Linked DNA regions of Daphnia pulex. The protein of the gene in region 1 binds, or shares a complex with, the protein of each later gene. Links are inferred from orthologs where the notes say so. Each region holds a gene or a part of one and is shown on either strand. Other genes may lie near its edges. The genes, in order: vacuolar protein sorting-associated protein 8 homolog and vacuolar protein sorting-associated protein 33A-like.

Evidence for each region.
Region 2: vacuolar protein sorting-associated protein 8 homolog (region 1) and vacuolar protein sorting-associated protein 33A-like share a complex: the UniProt entries of both Drosophila melanogaster proteins name them as parts of the class C core vacuole/endosome tethering (CORVET) complex. The link is inferred for Daphnia pulex from reciprocal best matches to the Drosophila melanogaster genes Vps8 and car.

The regions. Positions count from the first base shown.
Region 1 is NC_060022.1:5,734,358-5,737,802, reverse strand, and holds the end of vacuolar protein sorting-associated protein 8 homolog, read left to right. Parts: intron 1-30; coding exon 31-380; intron 381-449; coding exon 450-802; intron 803-870; coding exon 871-1,133; intron 1,134-1,204; coding exon 1,205-1,522; intron 1,523-1,610; coding exon 1,611-2,077; intron 2,078-2,133; coding exon 2,134-2,268; intron 2,269-2,338; coding exon 2,339-2,649; intron 2,650-2,705; coding exon 2,706-2,804; 3' UTR 2,805-2,896; downstream 2,897-3,445. UniProt on the Drosophila melanogaster protein: Part of the class C core vacuole/endosome tethering (CORVET) complex involved in endo-lysosomal vesicle trafficking and lysosome biogenesis by facilitating docking and fusion of endosomal vesicles.
Region 2 is NC_060022.1:3,591,172-3,595,423, reverse strand, and holds the start of vacuolar protein sorting-associated protein 33A-like, read left to right. Parts: upstream 1-1,328; 5' UTR 1,329-1,650; coding exon 1,651-1,710; intron 1,711-1,765; coding exon 1,766-1,804; intron 1,805-1,863; coding exon 1,864-2,057; intron 2,058-2,118; coding exon 2,119-2,206; intron 2,207-2,269; coding exon 2,270-2,374; intron 2,375-2,441; coding exon 2,442-2,736; intron 2,737-2,808; coding exon 2,809-2,935; intron 2,936-2,997; coding exon 2,998-3,158; intron 3,159-3,245; coding exon 3,246-3,400; intron 3,401-3,466; coding exon 3,467-3,851; intron 3,852-3,911; coding exon 3,912-4,034; intron 4,035-4,110; coding exon 4,111-4,208; 3' UTR 4,209-4,252. Other genes in the region: retinol dehydrogenase 13-like, read left to right, coding at 530-648, 754-843, 1,018-1,122. UniProt on the Drosophila melanogaster protein: Core component of the class C core vacuole/endosome tethering (CORVET) and the homotypic fusion and vacuole protein sorting (HOPS) tethering complexes involved in endo-lysosomal vesicle trafficking and lysosome biogenesis.

The DNA.
Region 1 (3,445 bases):
TATTTTAACATGGTTTCCATTTTATCGTAGATCGTTGCTTTTTGATGAAATTTATCCAAGAATTTCGTCGTTCGAAGTGGCCCGAGACTGCTTCCTTCAACTGTTAGAACCCCACTTTCTCAACGACCGTTTGCAATCTATCTCACCTTCTATTATGCAGCAATTTGTAGCCCTTTATGAAGATAAGGGCTGGCTTGAGGCTCTGGAGAGCTGCATCAGCCACGTCGATGTCTCTAGCTTGGATCTGCATCAGATTCTGACGTTGTCGCATAACCAGGGGTTGTGTCACGCTTACCTTTACGTGCATACACGGGCGCTTCAGGATTACGTCAGTCCGCTGGAAGATCTGATGAAACAGTTGCAAGGAGCAGTCAAATTAGGTTCAGCATTATATAACATGATTCCATAAAACTAACTAGTTAACCATTCCATGTACCGTATACCCTTAGGTCCGCCGTATTCTGAACAAGATCTCAAATTGGGCCACGTCATCCTGGTCTACATCTCATGTTGTTTGGCTGGCAGGGCTTATCCCGTTGGAGAAATTGACGAAGATTCCCGTGTTAAAGTCAAACATCAAGTGTTAACTAGTCTGACGTGCCTGCACAGTAAACGAGCTTCGGAGGATGAGCCTCCATATCCATTCCTGCGCACTCTACTAGAGTTTAATACCCAAGAATTACTCAATGCTCTTTCATTAGCTTTTGAAGAATCTGAATTCATTGGCGAGATGGGAGCAAGACGCCAGCAGAGAGTAATAGACATTCTGGTTGAAATTATGATCAACTCGTCTCAGTTTTCGGTAAACATCTTTTTCTGCCTAATAGTAATTCTAACTTGTTTGTAACTTGTTTATAATTATTGTTACAGCCGGATCAGATTTGCTCTCTTTTCACATTCATTGCTCGTCAAATAAGTCGCTCACCTCGCCACGACTCTATTCATTTGGAACGTGGTCTTTTTCAGCAGCTTGTAGATTTGGTCTGTTCTTTGTCTTCTAAAGAAACTCGAGTTCAGAGTAGATTCGAAGAAAGGCAACAAGCACTGCTTCAACTTCTTCAGATTAAAGGCCAGCTATCATTGGGAACAGAAGATGAAGAAAAGCTACTTGAACAAGCTCAATCCGCTAAATTGTAATATCATTTAAAATCAAAAATCAATTTGAAACCATTTTCACATTCAATTTATAATACTTTTTTATTAGTTATCGTGTATGCGAGTATATCTACGAGCAGCGCCAAGATTGGGAAAATGTGTTCCAGTGCTACATTGACGATACCTCTCGCCACGGCGACATTCTTCACTTCCTGCGGAACGTTTTCACTGAATCTGTTGCATCCAATGTCCAACTGATGGAACGATTGATTTTGAAACATATCCAACTGCTAGTCCAACTAAACGCAACTTCATTGGCCGTCTTTTTGGCTGTTAACAAACCTGCATTAATTGATGAGGCGGTCACTGCCCTGATACCTTTTCCAAATGAACGATATCGTTTTCTTGAAGCTATTCTTGATTTGGCGTGAGTTTTAACTTAATTTTTATCGACTTATTTTACATTGATGCTTCAAATTTTAAAAGACGATGTTCTCTTACCTCCGTTGAAATAGGACTCAAGATATAGATGGGGCAACCAATACTGCTGTTTTGATCGATGATGACGGTCATTGTATTGAGCAATTTGCTGAACTTATGGCGGAGCTAGAGCCGGAGCGACTTACGTCTTACGTTCAACTAGCCGATATCCCACATCTGCCGCGTTTGTTAGAAATCTGTCGCAAGTTTGCCGTTGTCGAAGCTGAGGCGGCAATTCTTGAACGTCAAGGAGAGATAACAGCCGCTTACGATTTACTACTCGGCCAGCTTCAAGGTTCCATTAAACAACTCTTTGTTGAAACAGAGGGTTGGCAAGACTTCGAGGCTGCTTCTCAATCAGTAATTGATTTTTGTCAGCGACAAGCAAGTTCTTTAACAGAAAAGGAACGCGAAAGGGTTTGGTTAACCCTTCTCGACGAGTTGCTTCTTCCGCAAAGAAGCTTGAAGGGAAATCCGGATGCTTCCGCTTCCATCATCTCAGGTTTTGGAAATTTTTATTTAAAAAAAGGCCGTCCGTTAACAATTAACGATTTTAAGGTTTGAGAGAAGTTACTCAAAAAGTCGTGACAAGCATCCAGGGTCAAATAAGCTTAACTAAAGTGTTACCTCGTTTGATTGAGGATCCCGAAACAACAGGAGGCACTTTAGGGGATCTTCGCCAACTTATAATGGGTAACACAAAAAAAAAAATCTAATTCATTGAGGTAAAGTTTTTTTAATATAATGATTCATTTATTAACAGGTCTTTTGGATAACTACACGTACGAGACAACATTGCTACGGATCAGCACGCGACTGCTTCAAGGGGATGTACACAGTTTACTGTCTCAGCGCTACCGCCAGTCACGGAAAGGTATTGCGTTGCGTGCGTCCCGCTGCAGCAGCTGTAATCGTCTGCTTCAAAACGGCCGGAATCCATCCATTACTGCATTCCAATGTCGTCACGCTTTCCATAGCAGCTGCTTACGAGGGGAAATCAAGCAATGTATCCGTTGTCAGCCAACACCGATCATTGCAGAGCCAGAGCAAGATGATTCTACTGTCCCTAATCAAGTAAAGAGTTTTGTTGAATGTAATTGTTATTTTTCTAACTCTTTGTCATTTTCCAGGAGCAGTTGCCAGTTCCTCAGTTGTCACCTGCTCAGCTGGATTCGATCTACAAGGCAAGAATCGGATTGTCCTCTGCATTACAGAACCTATTCGAGTGATACCCAAATATTTATCCAGTATGAAACTTTTTCGATAAAACTATTCAAATTGTTGACTTATTATTGCAAATACGACTTGAATGTGCGTGTTACGTATAATTTCTTGTTGGGTTCATTCACAATCCTAGAAGGAAAGAGAACGTTTCTCGTATATTTTCCCGTTTATACAATAACTGTACAGCGCCCATCACTTGATGATTGCAAAAAAAGGCATTTATTCAGATTTAGACATTAGTTGGCTAAAATTGTCTGGCCTGTCATCCAAAATGATCCAACATGTTTCCATAAGTTGGTTGGAATGATCCGACAATCACTTAGCCCCATTAAAAATCCTTCAAGGTTTAATTTGAGGTCTGTCACCCCAATCAATGAAAATTCATAATAATTAACTTTTATGTGAATCTGGTCATAAGTTTCTTTGCGATATAATCAATATCTGTTTGTGATGGTTGGACGGTTTATGCTGAGTTGCTGAGTTGGTGACAGTGTGACACGAACAATTTACAAGTTCCATCACGCTATATGGTCCCCCTCTGTTTATGAGCAAAGTAATAATACAGTCCATTCCATTTTTCTCTATTTTTAATGTAATGTTATCTTAAGGGAGTTAGAAGAAAAAACAACGGTGCACCTGTAACCCA
Region 2 (4,252 bases), about 2.1 Mb from region 1:
ATCAACTTTTTACCAGATACTTTTATTCCAAGTTGTGCCAAGTTCTCTGTACTCGACATCTCGCACCTCTCGTTATCAAATCCGGTATAATAATTAAAGTACAAGTAAATTTAAATGATCAACAATGAAGCAACCTTGTTGTTTGATAGTTCAAGCTAATTTTGATATTTTTAATCACCTCAATTTTAAATTCAATTGTTGCATACGATAAGGTGTAACCGTCAACTGTTTGCATCCTGGTGCTGTCAAAACTGAAATCTTTCGCAACGCTCCAACATGTAACATCATTTTTTATATGTTGTTGTATTCTGATTCAGCCAAATATTACTCGAGTAATTTAATTAGGGTTCCAGATGGTAGCCGCGGTCTGCATTCCACTTTTCTTTAAGGTTTTTTATTTTTTTTTCTTTTTCTGCTGCATTTTAAAAAATCTCATTCCACTGTTTAATTAGTTGTGAATACTTCATTTTCATCAAGCATACATACACTAGAAATTAAATGTATATTAACTTATTATTTTTTCTTATAGGTAAAAACATTACTGTCAATGCTCTTCATCCGGGTGTCGTTCAAACTGAATTTGGTCGTTTCCTTCCTTATGAGACTTTAGTGAAAATTGCATCACATGTGTCTTCTATTTTCTCAAAGGTTTAAGACGAGAAAACTGAGAATTCAATTTTGTTTCCTCATTCATTACTGAGATTGATTTACATATCCGTTGAACGTTATAACTGTCTACCTTCTATATTTCAGTCGGCCAAAGAAGGTGCGCAGACAAGTATTCACTTGGCTGTGGCTGACGAAGTCGCCAACGTTACAGGAGAATATTTCAGCGATTGTAAGGTAAAATATTAACTTAAAACAAAAAACATTTATTAATAATATAGATGCCTGCAAATCAAAGCTGATGCATACAACGATAATCTAAAAGTTGATAAAGATGTACCGGAAATAATATTTGCAATGCAAGTTTTAAATATTTTTCGAATTAAAAATACAATTTTTTTAAAATCACAGATTGCTAAAACGTCCAAGTTGGCAAAAGACCTCGAATTAGCCAAGAAGCTGTGGGAGGTCAGTGAAACTTTTGTCAAGTTGAAGCCAGAAGAGCGCCATTTTTAAAACACCATTAAAACAAGGTGATTGTTTTTGTGGACGTCCAATAAAATAGGAGTTCAATGATTATGAATTTATTTAATGTACTTTATGATAAGCGAAATGACTAATGAGAGGAAAGTGTAATATGTGTTTCCATAATCCGTGTTTTGCTTTTGCCGCTTTTGCCAACTGTCCAGGATAGCCGTTTCGGAAAATGGCAACACTGTATGGTTCCTATCTCAGCTGTTCAGTGTTTACAACTGTAAGCTGTCAGTTGTGCTGATACTTGTCAGTGGTCACTGTTTCTCAGCTTGGGTCTATTTACTAGTTGACTATATACTTTAAAGCAACTATCAATACCAATCATTTACGAAATAATCGAAATATTTCCTCATCAGAAACAAAGAAACAAAAGCTCGGAAACCCTTCGCTTAAGAAATCTAGAATCTGGACAGTTAATAGCGACGTACTTAGACGTATCTTAAAGAATTAAATCTAACAGATCGAATCTGTTTACCAATTTATAAGTCAAATTTTATTAACAAAGCAGCCATGGCTCATTTATCAGCTGGCAAAGTCAACTTTAGTATGCTGAGAGAGTTGGCAAGAAAGGTACAATTTTATACAGTAAAAATAAATTTTGTCAACAGTTTTGTTATTTTTACAGGATATTGTTTCTCTTTTAGAGAAGTTCAGTGGAACAAAGGTATTTTGGTGTGTGCTATTCCATTTAAGAAATTTACGTAAATTCATCAATTATGCTAGGCGATATTTTGGGATGAACAACTCACTGGCCCCATTGGTTTGGTGGCAGAATACAGTTTTCTTAAGGAACTAGATGTTGTAAAAATGTTCCAGTTAAAACCTGGGCGTTTGCCTTCCATATCTGTTAAAAATATACTGTTCATCACAAGACCTGAAGTTGAGCTGATGGATTGTATTGCAGATAACTTGCACAGGTATGAATAATCTACATATTTTAACTTTAAATAGACAACAATTAGTTAATTTACATTTCAGCGAAGAAAGCCAAGGACATTCTGCTAGTAAGGAATATCAGTTAATTTTTGTCTCCCGACGAAGTGCAGTATGTGAGCAACGGCTCAAGGTTGGTTAAAGTTACTTAAATCAGCGAAGAAGAAATTGTTGACAAAATTATTACTTCATTTAGGACAAAGGAGTGTATGGAACTCTTACTTCTATTGATGAACTGCCTGTTGATTTTTTCCCACTGGATAGTGATGTCATTTCAATGGAACTCGATAATGTTTTCAAGGTATTTATTTATGAGCCAAACTTTGAAAGGGATTGCTTGTCATTGATTTCTTCAAATTTCTTCCCAGGATCTATATGTTGATAATGAAATCAGCTCCTTACACCAAATTGCTCATGGGTTAATGTCCCTCCAAAGTTTATATGGCATTTTCCCCAACGTTGTGGGTAAGGGACGCCATGCCCGTAACGTATTCGAATTGATGACTCGAATGCGACGTGATATTGGGGTAGACTGTGATCCCCCCATGTCTCCGTTGTTCGACACTCTCATGATCATTGATAGGACTGTAGATTTGATAACTCCTGTTGTCACTCAGTTGACCTATGAGGGTCTTATCGACGAATTCTATGGAATAAAACATAGTAAGAAAGTATTGTTAGCTTCTGTGTAAAACAATTATTTTACTTGCATTTTGTGGTTTCATTGTTATTTAGATACAGTCAAGCTTCCAGGAGAAAAGTTTCAAGCCTCTTCACCTGCGGGCCAGTCACCTCGCTCTGATGATAGCTCTGTTAAATCTGTTGTTCTAAACTCGGCCGAAGAGCTTTACGCTGATTTGAGGTGAAATTTTGAATCAGACAAATTTTGCTTCCGACAGTTTTAAAGTTATTTATTTTGCACAGGGACAAGAACTTTTCAGCCGTGGGTACTGCACTCAGTCGCAAAGCTAAAGCTATTTCAGCTCAGTATGAAGAACGACACGAAGCAAAAACTGTCAGCGAGTTGAAGCAGTTTGTAGCAAAACTACCGCAGATGCAAGCCACCAAACAGTCTTTAGCACTACGTAAATACTTTGTCGTATTTTTTCCTGGCCATTATTTAAGCTGTATTACGCATTATTTAAGCTGTATTACGCATAATTTTTTTACAGATACATCTGTCGCTGAATTGATTAAAGAAATAACTATTTCAGAAGCATTCCAAGAGGCCCTTCAAGTGGAGCAAGACCTTTTGAATGGAATTGATACTGACAAAGTTTGTCCATACATTGAAGATTTCATTTGTAAGCAGGAACCATTGACTAAGGTAACTGAAGTGGCAGTTGGATACATTTTGCCATTTCCCTTTATTTTACATTTATAATTATCACAGATTCTTCGCTTGATTTGTCTGCAATCTGCTGCCAATAGTGGCCTGAAGCCGCGCGTCTTAGAACACTACAAAAGAGAAATTATTCACGCTTACGGATTCCAGCACATGATTACGCTTCACAATCTTGAAGCTTGTGGTCTCCTTCGATTGCAGCAAAGTAATCGTCCTTTTACTGTTATACGGAGAGCGCTGAATCTTACGGTAGATGACGTCAATGAAATCACACCTACTGACATCTCCTATGTACATTCTATTTACGCGCCACTAAGTGTACGATTGATTCAATGGGCAGCTAAGCCCGGATGGAAGCAGATTTCCGATGTGCTTAATTTGATTCCAGGACATTTGGTTCAAGAAACTCAACCAATTTCCATTGATTTAAGAAGTTTGTTTCCGTTTCTTAGTTTTTATGAGACCTTATAATCACACTTCGACTGTATTTTAGGAAATTCTAGAAATAGTGTCCATAGTTCGATTGAAGAAACCAAGGTCACATTAGTATTCTTCCTCGGTGGATGTACCTACGCAGAGATTTCTGCTCTTAGATTTCTATCTAAAAGGGATGATGGTAAGTAATTAGCGTTCAACATATTTTGCAAATAACAACTTAAACAATAACTTTTTTTTTCCTTAAAATTTTTTAGCACCTACAGATTATCTGATTGCCACGACAAATATAATAAATGGTGAGAGTTTCCTTACTAGTTTATCTGAAACTTTAAATGGTAACTCTCTAGTCTAAGTCTAATGTTATATATTTACCCCATAATTCTACATCTAAATGAA